3 linked regions of the Drosophila melanogaster genome follow. The protein of the gene in region 1 purifies or fractionates together with the protein of each later gene. This does not show direct contact. Each region holds a gene or a part of one and is shown on either strand. Other genes may lie near its edges.

The links. The genes of interacting proteins can lie anywhere in the genome.
Region 2: the proteins of Prosbeta6 (region 1) and Pomp purify together in Drosophila melanogaster (affinity purification with mass spectrometry, with the first as the bait; one large-scale study listed by BioGRID). This does not show direct contact.
Region 3: the proteins of Prosbeta6 (region 1) and CG15717 purify together in Drosophila melanogaster (affinity purification with mass spectrometry, with the first as the bait; one large-scale study listed by BioGRID). This does not show direct contact.

What each region holds. Positions count from the first base shown.
Region 1 is NT_037436.4:16,608,891-16,611,995, forward strand, and holds Prosbeta6 (proteasome beta6 subunit), read right to left. Parts: upstream 1,529-3,105; 5' UTR 1,429-1,528; coding exon 1,340-1,428; intron 1,265-1,339; coding exon 646-1,264; 3' UTR 510-645; downstream 1-509. Other genes in the region: CG4098 (uncharacterized protein), read right to left, coding at 1-317; Su(P) (suppressor of ref(2)P sterility), read right to left, coding at 1,848-1,939, 2,002-2,408, 2,473-3,105. UniProt on the Drosophila melanogaster protein: Non-catalytic component of the proteasome, a multicatalytic proteinase complex which is characterized by its ability to cleave peptides with Arg, Phe, Tyr, Leu, and Glu adjacent to the leaving group at neutral or slightly basic pH.
Region 2 is NT_033779.5:20,785,694-20,789,626, reverse strand, and holds Pomp (pomp), read right to left. Parts: upstream 1,972-3,933; 5' UTR 1,845-1,971; coding exon 1,842-1,844; intron 1,778-1,841; coding exon 1,512-1,777; intron 1,225-1,511; coding exon 1,089-1,224; 3' UTR 529-1,088; downstream 1-528. Other genes in the region: vari (varicose), read left to right, coding at 1-41, 204-380.
Region 3 is NC_004354.4:13,127,467-13,135,045, reverse strand, and holds CG15717 (uncharacterized protein), read right to left. Parts: upstream 6,029-7,579; 5' UTR 5,945-6,028; coding exon 5,858-5,944; intron 5,741-5,857; coding exon 5,069-5,740; 3' UTR 5,010-5,068; exon of another isoform or gene 4,756-5,009; intron 4,054-4,755; exon of another isoform or gene 3,868-4,053; 3' UTR 3,250-3,867; coding exon of another isoform or gene 3,075-3,249; intron 2,115-3,074; coding exon of another isoform or gene 610-2,114; 3' UTR 481-609; downstream 1-480. Other genes in the region: MFS10 (major facilitator superfamily transporter 10), read right to left, coding at 610-2,114, 3,075-3,249; CG32638 (uncharacterized protein), read left to right, coding at 6,748-6,795.

The DNA of each region.
Region 1 (3,105 bases):
TGTCCATCCAGCTGATTCCACTGTGGCCAGAATGTGTCGCTGGGCAACGGCGGATCAGCCCACACCTGCCCGCCAATATGTGGCGCCGTGTACGCAGGCGGGCAGTAGTCCGGGAACGGCTCCGACCAGAAGACCTGTTCGTCGGAAACTGGGTACCGGAGGACTGAGCTGCGCGGATACATGTTGTTGCGGCACATTAGGTGCCGGAAAATGCCCGGCTTCACCAGCGATGACATCATTTGGGCGGAGGTTAGCGGGTTTTCCAGGATCAGTGGCAAAAACAGAAGCGGCAGCAGTGCAAACTCGAAACTCGTCATTGGACTGAATTCTCTGAGAGACGAACACTAAGAAATGATTTTGTTAACGCACACCAGCGGGCACAAACTTAGCTAGCAAAATGGATTTGTTGGTACGGGGAAAGCTGTACTATTCGCACAGCCTCTTCTGTGAGCACTGCTTGGGAACGATTTATTTCTAGGACCAGCTGGTCACACTAGGCCGCATATTTTAAATCTCAAAGATTCGGTTTATTACGATGTTTTGTTGTTTTGGGTAAATACAAAAATTTGAAGCCAACTAACTTAGAATGCCTGGTTTCCACCGAATGCCCCTAACCAAAAGAAACGGCAACATCCTCGCCACAGGCTAGTCCTGACGCAGCGTCAGAGTTCGTACTTCAATTCCATCTTTGGTTATGATGTTGATCAGCACAGAGTCGCCGGTGTAGATGTCGCGCTCAGCGGCAGAGATGAAGGTGTCGGAGGCAACGCTCACGGCCCGCTCCTTGGTTAACTTGATCTTGTCGGCGTCTTCCAAATTCATGTTCTTGTGACCAATCTGGTTGTCCAGCACCGGTTGCAGCAGGGTGCCGGCAGTGCCGCCGGCGCGGTATGTAGCCTTCTCGCAGTGACCGATGGGATCGTAGGAGTAGACGACGCCCTTGCCCTCGTTGTCAATTCCAGCCAGAATGTTCGACACGTAGTACGGGAAGAAGCGGCGATTGTACATGGCGATGGAGAGCATCTGGGCCACGGCCTCAGTGGTCATGGTGCGCAGATGGGTATGCTCGTAGCTCTGCATGCGCACCTTAATCGATCCGGTCAACGAGAGCGTGTCCGCCCAGCAGCCTGCGGAACCCAACACTGTCTGGGGCGAGAGTTTAAAGAGTTTACTCTGCGTTCGCGAGTGAATGTTGTAGCCGCTGCTCAGGCGGGTGTCCGCTGCAATTACGGCAAAGTCATCTCCGGCGATGGCCACAATGGAGCTGTAAACAGGGAAGACTCCGGTTAGATGGAGACATTCTTCCACATCTCGATTCCGCTGGGAAATAGCAACTCACCCGCCATTGGACTCGTAGGGCGAGAAATCAGGATGCTTCATGCCGGGCACCTGGTAGTCCGGGAATTGCTCAAAGCCCAATCTGCTCATGTTTTGTGCTGAAATTCACCAATTAACTCGCCAAGTAAAAAACCAACGAAATGATTTGCAAGTTTGCAAGCGGCTAACCAAAATCACAAAATCAATGTGACCGTTGTTGAGCATCGGATCCAGCCTGCTTAAACGTTATCGATAGGTATACATACGTCGGTTTGGGATATTTTTATTAGCAGGAGGTATTTATTTAGTAAACATTTTTAATTTAACATATAAATAAAATAACAATATAAAACCTAAAATTAATTCCAATTTGTACCATAAACTTGCACTCCTTACGCGTTTTTGACCAAATATATACATTCAGATACCATAAACGAAACGGCAAACTAGATTTGATTAAAATGTATATTTTAATGAACATTTCGGTTATTTTCAACAATCTTTGGATAAAATAAGGGCAAATATTTGTTTTAAGCTATAGCGGCCATGTTTTCAATACGTTCTCTTTGCAACTGCCCACGATTCTTCTCCACCAACGCCTTGACGTCATAAAACCATTTACCTGCGGAAATATGTAAAAAGTTCGTAAAAAGGTACAAAACCCGAGAAAGAAACCTTATTTACCGATGCTGGTGTTTTGCAGACAATCCTTGAACGTCTGACACCCCTCCATGCTTGAAAGCACGCCGAAAACCGATAGATCAGCCAGACTTGGCTGTTTTCCGCCCATGAATTTCGTGTTCCTCTTTTTCAGCTCAGTGGTCCACTGGTCAAGGGCATCGTACATGTGCGACCTGACGTCGTCGCTGAGGGCGTGACGGCGCTTCAGCATCTTGGCTATGGCCCACATGGCGGTGGCACCACAGTAAACCATCAGGTCGCGCTCCCATTTGGGGAAGTGAACGTCCCACTCGCCAGCTTGCGAGAACCACTCAAAAGTCTCTAGGGACTCGCCCATGGTCTGATAACAGTTGGGCGATATTAGATGCACCAAGTGGCTGTCGGCCCAGCTTCTCCACTTGCGATCGGTTCTAAGAACAGACACTCAAGGTTAAAAGATTTGATTAAAAGATTACTTGACCCTGGTTAACTTACTCATCCGTTTCCTTGGATACTCCCTTGGGCGTATGCTCGCGGTACATGAGGAAGTATTTATTCAATATGTCGTTCTTCTTTTTGCCATCATCGTCGAAGAAGGAGGTGTGCGGATAGAACTGTGCCAGCTCGCCGATGTCGGTGCGCTTGTCCTGCAGGTGGGTGGCTATAAGGGATATGATGGCACTTGAGTCCACCATCTGGACGTATTTGCCGTCCTGCTGTCGGATGAGCACCATCGGCACCTTCTTCACCGACGACCAGCGGATGTCCTGCCGTAGGACGGCATCCACTTCGACCACCGCATAGGATATGCCCATGTAGTCGAGGAAAGCGCGCACCTTGCAACAGAAGGGACACGTCTGGAACTGGAACAGCACAATGTCCAAACCGGACGTGTCCTTGGGGTTGACATAGCGCTTGGTTATCCGCACTCCAGCCGGAATCCCGTCCAGCCGCGTCGGCTTCGTCTCCTCGTGCTCTTTGTGCGAGCTGCCGTCTGTCCACCGCTGGTACATCGTATACACCGATCCGGTGGCCGCGCCTACGGTGGCCCCCAAAACTGCGAGCTTGAAAGTTCCATTCGGCTTCTTTCTGCCTCCGCCGTTTTCAACCGCTACAGCAAACTGGCGG
Region 2 (3,933 bases), on another chromosome or scaffold:
GACGCGCCCGTACGCTCGAGTCCCTAGCGTCGTTGTATGAGGTAATGTGCCCTGACCTATCCTTAATTACAGTGTCGTATAAATTGTGCTCAACTCAATCATCCGCTTGGCGCACCTAGGCCACCCTAGTAGCCCTGTTAGATCTCTGCCTGAATACCCAAACATTGCTTAACACATTCGCTTTCTATGACTTTTCCGAACAGGACGACGACCTTGTCGCCACCGTCGAGGAGAGCAGCTTCGTCCAGCGCAAGTATGAGAAATACTTCGACATGGTCATCGTGAACGAGGACTTCGATGAGACGTTCCGCCAGGTGGTGGAAACGCTGGATCAGATGAGCCACGAGGAGCAGTGGGTGCCTGTCAACTGGATCTACTAGAATCCCATGACCCTTTGCAATTGCGCCTTTATGCATATTGAAGAATATATACTATAAAAATCGAATGCCTATCATCACAATTAAAGGGATAATTCCAGTAATTGAAGCTTAAACTCGCAACACAATACAAATTTAGCGAAGAGCATTTAAAACGCTAGCGATTTCAATATTTATTGTTGATTAGACGTGTTTTGCTTGAGGAATGTAATGCGTTTTATTAACTATGTTTATCTCAATTACTGTCATTTTCCTCTTTAAATATAAATCATGTATATATGCAATGTTTGTATAAGTTGAAATGCGCCCTCCGTTTACAATTCAGTTTTCCTTAAGTATAAGCCTAATTTTACGAAACGAATTCGTCCATTTTACCATCTCTTGTTTTATTTTTACAAATAATGAATGATGTCAACGCATATCTCTTCAGTTTATTATTTTAACGAATCTCCTCAGTACAACAACCTTCTGCCAATATTTTCGTGTAGTTTTTAGATTTGTTTGAATAAAATGTGTAAGTTTAACGAACTAGTTAAATGTATTGATGTGGAGTTAAACAAACGAAATACGAATAAATTTGGCTCAAAGAAATGGTGAATTTTGTTTACCTCTAGCTGGTCGCACCAAAATATATTTTATTTGCTGATCTTAAGAGTGTCTTAGAGTTTAAAGGCTGAATGCCAGGCATTTAGCAACTTCATTTGCAGGGACTTATTGGTAAATTCCCAGAGATTTCTCCACCACAGCGTGGGGCTGACGCATATGCTCGCTGTTCTCGGGCAAGTTCATGAAGTCCTCGAAGCCAATGGAATCACAGCGGCCAGTCAGGACATCGTCCATGAAGTTGCTGCAATATAAAGGAAAGAATTAATATAGAAGATAAGTAGTCATTGCTGGGTTTTCGGTAATAATGGTACTATGGGAATCACAGGTATACTTGGTATACACGTATGTATGTATGTACGTATATAGGTATCCATTATTAGGCAAGAAGTTTAGATTTTCTAGATTGTAGGATATCTCAGGTTTCTCCGGGATTCTTATAATGTGGAAACAGAAGATTTCTGAATGCTTCCGCCCTTGCAGAGATTCCTGTCCAGACTGAGAAGCTCCCAGACCGGGCTAGATGCTCACCTGGACGAAAGGAAGGGCAGGCGGCCCACCTGACGTGCGGCGAAGCGCTCCATGCCCATCTTGAGGGGCACGCCGAGGCCCTCGTGGTTGCGCAGCATCTGCATGTTGCGGTTGTACTGGTGCTCGTTGTAGTTCAGCTCCGAGTCGCGCAGCCGGTGGACGTGGGCCAGTTGGTTCAGGCAGTTGGCCTCGGTGGGCATTCCCACACGGCCGGTGGCGTTCAGCACGGACACCTCGGCGGGCTGGACTTTCAGTGATGGCTGATACTGTATTGCGAGGGGTTTTCGTTTCGTTAGCGGCTCTACTAAATGCACTCGGCGAGGTACTTACCATATTCGTAAGCGCTTTTAGAATAAAAATGCGGCGAATTATAATTGTTTCTTGAATGACAAACAAATTCCGTGCGAATTAGAGCTGGTACTTGTGTCGATGCCTACTCGATATCGACGATAATTGACAAGATAATCGAATAGAAAGCAACTTATCGACTAGAATAGAATCCAGTAGTGTAGAAACCAGACTGGCAACTCTTTACATGTGTAGAAATCAGGATGGCAGCTCCAGACAATGCTAACATGGATTCAATCCATTTTGACCCACATAAATTTTAGCTCGGTTTCAAACCATTGCAGGGTACAAAAATGCGGCATGTCCGACAAGTGAATTTCGATTTGAAATTATGAACTCCAAATTTTCCAATCCAATTTGATTATTTAAACAAAATATTTCTATATATATAGCAACAACGCAGCACTATTTGAAATACACTTTAATTGTAATCGTGTTGATGGGTAAAAGTCGGTCTATGCAAATTGGCGTTATTAGCGCACTTAACACTTCGGTCAAGTGACGAACTTGAGTGTTGTGATTAATTACACCCTCGCTGGCCAGCAACGCACATCCGAAATATACAAACGTATCGATCTCGGCCGCAGCTCTAATCAATTCGATCAACAAAAGAACTGAATCCGCTGGCTGGCTGGCCGGGGTTTTGTTTTTCTTTTCACCCACACCTTTTAGCGGCTTTTATGATCTTCTGCTCCACAGAGACGCGATTCATTTGCATCGAGTGACAAACGCGAACGAATGCGAATGCGAGGAGACCAAATCACACGACAGGGCTTAATTAGTGCATGGTCACTAATAAAGATTCGGCCAGTGGATGTTGTGTTAATCAAACTCCCGCACACAATAGCCCAAACTGTCTCCGGCCAACCGATCCGATCCTATCCAATCTGAACTTGAAAATCCAAATGGAAACATCAACCGGATGGATGGATCTTCACCTTCACTTTAGACTAAAAGGTAGTACGTAAATTATGATTTATGCCCATTTACTGAATTTTACAGTGCGAAAAAAGCGAACTACATTCCTGCTTTGTAATTTACAACTTTAATCATTTTAATATTGGTATGGATGAGCATTGCAATACAAAGTCAAATAGTTTATAGCATGTATAGCTATAGTATTGATACAAAAACGTATTAGATAATTTAAAAGATCAGCCCTATTTTTAATGAATGAATTCTATATTAAGAAACTGACAAAATGATAAGTAAATTTAATCAGCAGACAATTCGAGAATTTACAATAAGAATATCGCAACGGGCATATTTATGGCGTCGAGTTGATAAAAATATCGTTAGTTTTTATTACTTTGAGATGCGATTCTTTCGGATGCAACTTATGGTGATTTAATCTATAAGTCTATAAATAAATTAAGTTAGAATAAACACAAATTACTCGCATCGATTTTAGCTTACTAGCATCGTTCCTTTGACTTATTTGTTAATACAATCATTTCAGTTCCCTGTGAATTTTGCCGCTTGAAGAGTTCAAAAGAACTCATACCACGATTGATTTATAACGTTTACTTTCTGTTTTACTGCCTTTGACCAATTAATACACAGTAGACCAGTACGAGGCGAATCAACCAATTCAGTCAGTCCAATATATGGCCATAAGGATGGCCAAGAGCCAACTATGTATGGTCGAATGGAGATGGAGATCTCAGGGCGAGAAGATCGATATGTAAAAGTCAAATAAAAATATAACGTCGAGAATTAACATTTTTTCACAGCAATAAATGCATAAAAGTCGAAGATGTGTATTCAAAAAAGAGAAGAGTCGTGGGTTCAACTAGGGGACTCTTCAGATGAGGGAATTCCTTTTAAAACAGCTTGATTGGGCTGATATTTCTCTTCTATTTTATACGCACTCAGAGAAATTAATGGGTAAAAGCAAGAGATTCCAAAAGATGATCAATAGATGATTTCTTTAAATTGAAGTACAAAATAAAAGGATGTTTCTTCAGCTTTTCAAGAGTTATTTAAAGGCATCCGAGGGCACGATTTCCCTCAGTGCACCAGTACACCCATTTCTGTATGACGTATATGGTATAAAATTTACAATCTTCTGCAG
Region 3 (7,579 bases), on another chromosome or scaffold:
TTTGACATGAACACTTCGCCCCTGAAATTATGCAACATTTTTACAGCCTTCAAAAACATGAAAAGCCTAAAAGTGTTTTAAAAATCCAAGACTCTAGTAGCTGCATAAAATAAATAACCCATCAAATCATAATTCTCCAATGAAGAGGTATTACTTAGTCGGATACACGAAAACCACCTGCCAGTTAAAGAATAAAATGCTTAAATCAGGTGCCACAGTTCGATATGTTTGTGCTGTTTATTTCGACAGATCTACGTGCCTTCGAGCGTGTATATGATAGATATATAAATATATATGTATATATATATATAGTTGGTATTGGTATAATTGTTTACAAAAAAAAGACGCCTAGCAAAACAAAAGTCCATATAAAAGGACGATACACGTATATAATACACTAAAACAGTTAACATCCTTTCGATTTTCCATTCCGATTTGGTAGCACTAGTTTCGTTCGTTTCGTTTTTTTTTTTTCTTTTTGGAAGCCACATTCTTGTCCTGCATCCGGAAAACTTCGAGCCCAAATACATATGTAGGATATATGTGTATATATCGGAATTATCACAAATGCTTATGATCTAGCTAAAATAGCGTATAGTTAGGCTTGCTTCAAGCGCGCTGGGATCGTGAGTTGCGTGTGGGTGGTGTCTTCGACCAGCTTTGCTCCTCGGCGCTGGCGAAGATCAGGTAGATGAAGTTACCGGCTATATTCAAGCCCGCCGCCAGCCAGAAGACCAGATGCCACTGTGTCAGAGTCTCGCGATGATTGATGATTAGACCGATGACATACGGAGCCAGGAAGCCACAGATATTTGCCGCCGAATTGGTGATGCCATACATGGTGCCTGCATATCGTGGACTGAGCGCTATGTGATTCATCTGGTTGCCAGCATAGACGGCGCCGCCGAAAGAGCCCACGCCGGCCAACATAAAGGTGACCCACACCCAATCGCAGCCCACATAGATGATGCCAATCAGGCCCAGTGATGGCACCACGGAGGCCACCGTGTTCCACAACTTATACGAGTTCAGCAGCGATATGTAGCGTCTGGCTAGCATCCAATCCGCCAGGGCGGAGCAGGCAATGCCCACGAACCAGGAGGTTAGATACGGCACCGCATTGAGCAGAGCATTCGACTGGATGTCAAAGTGTAGGATGTTGCTCATGTAGGTGGGCAGCTCGGTTAGCTGCGTGTAGAAGGCCCATCCCTGGCCGCATTGCGTCAACAAGATGGCCCACAGAGGTACGGATGTGAGCAGCGATGACCAGGGTATCGGTTCCTCCGGCGGCGCCCGCAGACTCACTTCATCCTGTCCCTCCTCTTCCTCGGCCTCCGCTAGATCCTGATTTATTAGCCTCTGAACCTGTAGACTCCTTTCGATATACTCTCGCTCCGATTCTGAGATCCTGGGATGATCGCTAGGCTTGTCGTACACCAAATACATCCATGCGATGAACCACAGAATGCCCAACAGTCCGAAGATGTAGAAAGCCGACGGCCAGCCACCCAGGAAGTCCAGCGAGCACAGCCATCCGGCCAGCGGCATGGAAATGACTGTTCCGATATTGGAGCCCGCATAGACGATTGCGGCGAACTTGTTCCTCTCCAGCGGCGGTATCCAGTGGGCAAGCATGGCGTGCATAGCTGGATAGGTGACGCCCTCGCCCATTCCCTCCAGGATGCGGACCAGGACCAACAGCGGCAGATCCCAGTGGGCAGCCAATGGAGTTATAAGCGTAAAGACCGCCGTGATCAACACTCCATAGCCGTAGATCTTCTTCCCACCATACAGCTCGGCCATCCGTCCGCCGGGCACTTGGGTTAGCACATAGCCATAGAAGAAACTGCCGAGCACCAATCCCTGCGTGGCCTCGTCCCACACAAACTCGCCCTCCTTCTGCGGATTGGGATCGCTACCATTGTGATGTGGTGCCGGTAGTGGACACGTGTCCGTATCAATCACCGATGAGTTGCTGTGCGGAATTGCCGTTTGGTTCACCATGGCCACAATGGCCACCGACAGATTGACCCGCATCGCGTAGACCACGGCGAATCCCAGGAAGCCCATGAATCCGAAAATGTGACGCGTCTTTGGGCCACAGCCATGGTTTTCTGCAGGGTGGAGAGAGGAGAGAGTGGATGGTTAGTAAGCTATGGTTTAGGAGGCGTAATAACGATATCAGTTCCGGTTTTACTTAAAAGTTCTCGCCGTTCTCGATAAGGCCCAATGTTACACTGAAAATCCCTAAATACCATTCAATGTGTTATCATTGCATAGTTTAAATTGCCTCAATTTCTTCACTTTTTTATTCCTTTAGAAATGTTTACATGAGATGCCATTGCCAGTGAATTTAATTTCTTTTCAGATACTTGTTCATAGGAATCGCTCAAGTATAAAATCTAAAATAAAAATATTACGATCTGATACCATCGAAAAAGTTATCGGCCCTCCGTTCCATTTGAAATGCAGATTTGTACTGTTCTATAAAGTTCAGAAAAACTTCGCTTCATATCAGTAAATGTAAACAAGTCGTAATTTCGGCCCTTGGCGAATAAATTATACATAGGCATAGGCTGTTAACTGGATAACTGGATAGTATTACGTGAAAATTAAAATTTATGCGTAATTATTAGGTTATTTTATATTATATGTATGTTATGTTATATGTATAAAAACATTTTAATTATTTTTATTAGTTATTGAAATCTATAAGCCATATAATATCTTACTTTAAGATTAAATGAGAATTATTATAAATTGAAAGATACAATTTTAGAGTGTCTTGGATATACGTAAAATGAAATTTGTTTACAACAAAAAGTATCTTTGCGTTGAGTACTGTTTTTTTTTACACAGATATTCCGAGAGTTTATGTTTAATAAAAGTACTGACCCAGGACATATGTATGTACAATACATAAATGCAAATCAATATGAAGCAGAAATAGCACTAAAGATTTAAATAAATAAAGGTATCTTGAGCTTGTAATACGCATATCTACGTTGCTCCACCTACATATGCTATAGCTAGGTAAATATCTTTCCCCATCTGTGTATCTTGTAGCTACTCACCCTCCGCAGCGCCGCTGGAGCGGATTAGCGGTCGTTCGCCGGAGCAAAACGCCTCCCGTTCGTCGTCCGCTTCGTCGTCGGAGCGCTCCGCCGAGGCGGATGAATTGGAGGAGGTGGATGGATCGTAGTAACAGGAGGCGTCCCGCGACTCGTCCGTCCATTTGTGCGGTGGCATCGTGGCGCTCTATTTGGTTTCGTGGATTCCGATTGGAGATGTTGGTGCTTGGCGGTCTGTGCTTTTCGAGCGTCTTTTGAGCGTTTGGAACTGCAACTGCCAACGCATTTTCTCTGCCGGAGCGGCAGCTGTAGTGTAGTTATTGTATTTGTATCGCCAGCGGTGGCGGAAGCGGTTTGCTTGTCCACCAAAATCAAGAGCCGTGTGAGCGGGAGCGGGAACGGGAGCGGCAACGCGAGCGGACACCTCACCACGCCAGCGGGAACCAGCGCAGACTGACGGACTGGCAAATGGCAACGGGCAACGGACAGCGCAACAACAAACCTAAGCAAAAGGCAGCGCCAGCAAACGTAGCTTCTAACCACAAGAGGGGTAACAGTGGCGTAGTTGTGGGGTGGCGAGCCAAAATCACAGAGGGGATTCCTCGAGTGAGAAGAGTAAATACTTTCTGGCGATAGAATGATGGCGTAGTTCTTTGGGAATTTCAGTCATTGTTTAGTTGCCCCTTTTGCTGCGCCACTGCGTTTGGAGTCACCACAGCTCGCTCCCTCTCTAATGGCTGGCTCTGTGGCGTTCTCGCTCTCTCCCGTGTGAAAGTGGAGCATGAATGGTGCGGCGCTACGTCACAGAAGGGGATGCAAGAACGAAAGAGAGTGGGTGAGAGAGAGAGCATTAGAGAGGGCCAAAGAGAAAGGGGGTGATGTGCGAGAAGAGAAGAGAGTGCAGTGTGAATTGTATTGTTGTGAACTAACTTAAGTATACTATCTTTGTTTAGTTACAGTTAGTTTACACACACACACAAACTATAAACGGCGATATGGTATATTTGCCAGCACTGAAAAATTACTATTTGTAAGAAAATAAAAACAATAAAACAAAACTAATTTCCAGATAGTCGAAATCAAAAAGGGAATTTGTACTAAAATCTTGAGAATAAAAACAACGAGGAGAGAAAGGCAAAGTATACTTTAGTTGCCAACACAAATACACGCACACTCAAACAACTCAGGCTAACACAATAGCTACGTTTAAGTAGCCAAGCTCTTTTAATGTATGTAAGTCAATTCAAGCAGGCTCTAGTTAGAGAACAAAAGAAATGAGCAAAAACCTAAATTCCACACATAGTATGTACATTTCTACATCTGGAAATTTTTCCATATTTGTTGTCCGTTTACAATGAAATAGATAAGATAAAGGGTTAAGTTGATCGATCGCTGCGTAGCTCGCACAAAACAAAATGTTCTTTTAAAAATTTTCATTGAAATCATTACCAGTTTATCAGTTAAATGGTTCATTTACTTCATAGTATGTTAAGTTTACTAAAATGAGCGCTATTATTTTGGCCCCAAGTGTATGAGTGTGCCCTTCAACTGCTTCCATTTAAACTGCTTTGCAGGATTTCTATTTCTGGAGCAGCACTTGCGCATGTCCTGAAAAAATGCCTGTTGCATGCAGAGATTCGTGGACCTACCCCAAATTCCCACAGATGCATAAAAGTTGGCTGATGATTTTTCAGTGGACAATTATTGACAGAGTATCAAAAAAACAATTCAGACTCAAGGACCTTTTCGCAATACAATTGGAATATTATGATGGTTGCAAAATCAGATAATTTCTAAGTTAAGCCACATTAAATGCTAGTTGTTTGACATAACTCCTAATTTAGTTCGATATAATTCCAATTGAACTGTCGAAAAGGATGCCCCAAGCTACATGTAAAATGCTTAGAGAGGTATTTTAAAGTATGGCTTAAAAAGCACCTGGATGTAATTCCTTCCGGATGTGATTCGTCGCCGTCGAAGTCCAGAACTGTCACTCTTCAGTTGCCGAAGATGGTGCCCACGGGAAAGACGACGATCCTCCGTTTGCCGCTCACCACCAGCGATTCATAGTGATAGTTCTTGGCCAGCAGAACATCGTTGCGGTCGGCAGCAAAGGATTCCCAGATGGGATCCAAGTCCGGATTGAAGCAATTAATGGCCACAATATCGCTCGGTAGTCGTGGTATCAGTTCGTAGGCGCAGCCCAGCTTCTCATTCCACAGACTAACTTGGCCGTAAGGTAGGGGATCCCTTTTGGCCAACTGGCCGGCCTCCTTGGCTGTGCGGAATGTGTGCACCGTCACCACTCCCGTCGCTCCATTGCCCAGATAGCTGTGCACGCAGTCGTACACCAAGACGGGTGATTCCCCAGCCTTAAGGCTTTCGCCTTGTACTGTCTTGGCCTTCAGCTCTTCGATCTTGGCCAGCGTGCTGGTGTAGCTCGGATGCTTGGACACCTCCTGCGACAACGGACGCAAATCCTGCGCCACTAGGCCCACAAACTGATCGGCAATGCTCTCCTGGAGTAGCAACGTGGCCACCGATCCCTCGGCAAAGGGATTCTGCAGGGACTGGAGCAACTGGTGGCGCGCTGAGTGCAGATCACCGTCCTCGAAGACGACCATCAGCTGGGGGGAGCGCCACTGGGGTGCACTGGGAATCAGCGCCAACTGCAAGTAGATACATTTTTGAATTTAACATATGTATGTAGGTGCTCCGATAATCTCACTGAGACACAATCCGTGTGCCAAGGAGATCAAGGTTATGTCCGATATTGTCTGACTGACCTTCGTTTCCTGCGCCGTCGGCTGCAGCTGGTTGACCATGTAGCTGGTGATCCTGGACGGCTGGGACTGGGTGAAGTTGCTGGCCATGCTCTGCGAATTGAAAACTTGAATTCAATGGAATCGCCCGATCAGCTGCGTTATCAGCGGCTCACGCAAACATACACACACGCACATAAACAGACACACACGCACACACACATTCACATGCAGAGAAGGAAGATCGCTGATAAACTAAAATACCAGTTATTGGTATTATTCAGTATTTAACACGGCCTGTCGCATTTTATAGCTACGGTCACACCGAAATAATAACTGGCATGTATAAGCGGAACAGCGACCGGTCACATTGGCCCACACATCACAATTTTAATTTAAATTGCAATTGGTCGTGTTGCTGCGCTGACGCCTTCCAGCGTATAAAAGAAAATAACACTTTTGCCCCCGGCTAGCTAATAGTTGTTGACATCACTCGTTATTCGCCGTTCATTGTTGACGCCCCCGTGCAAAGGCAGCAACAACAACAGCGATTGCCAAATATTGCAGCAGCAACAACAAGAACATTTGGAGAACGAAAGAAGACCAACAAGTGCGCGCACACACACACACACGCACAGACGCACACAGATACACTCATACAGTGAAGCTATTGCGCTTTTAGCACCAATTGAAAGTGAATTGCAAGTGAAAATAGACGCAAAGTGGAACGATTTCAGCAAATTGTTGCACACGAAAATAACAAAACAGCTGTGCGACTCATTTTTTTTTGTGTTTTATTGTTGTTGTTGTCTGCGCCGCGTGTGGCAGCAGCAGGAGTGGGAGTGAGAGAGCGGTAGCCGCTGCAATAACTGCATTTGAGTGCGAGCGAGAAGGAGCAGGAGAGCGACATCATCATGACCGACCTCAACGAGCTGATGGGATCCCCTTTTGTGCGTGTGAAGGTAAGCAAGCAGTGCATGCGATGCGGGAGACGAGATGCCGCTATTGCACTGCACTGGCCAGCAAGCAGTGCACTGCACTCACCCCCCTCATCTTATCCAACAAACAATTGCAGCCATAAAAATAGCAATGGGCGACTAGGAAAACTCATAACTCATGACAAAAAAAAAAAAACAAAGAAACAGATAAAAATTCTGAATAAATGAAAAAGTCTCATTTAAATTAGGGGAAAGAATAAACAGGGTAAATAGATAACATATGGTACAGCTGCGGTCAAAATATTAACAGCAGGGCGGTTCAACTGGCTGGGTGGCACACATAAACAGAAGAAACAGATAAAGAATTTTACGGAAGCGGTCAAAAAATTAAACTGGGCGTATGAAACATACGTGTTTGTTTTTTAAGGAATAAAAGCCATGAAAAGTAGATAAAAACTTTTTTTGGAAATTTACTTACATGTGTTTGGATGCTTATTTTGCATTCAAAGTGGATATAGCTACATATACATACATATATCGGCAAATATAAATTACTTGTTGTAGAACGAAAATAAGTAAATTAATGCCATCGTTATATGTATAAGTAAAAAATACACATAAATGACATTGTATGTACAGCTGGACTAATGCAACTTGTGTGGGCGAAATAAAACTGCTTGAGCGAAATTTACAGCTTACGGGAAAACCTTATAAACTAATTACATCGTTTCACTAAAAACATTTTCCAATTGTGCAGTTTTCTGTCCAAGAATAAATATTGTTATTTCTATCATAATACAATCCGTTT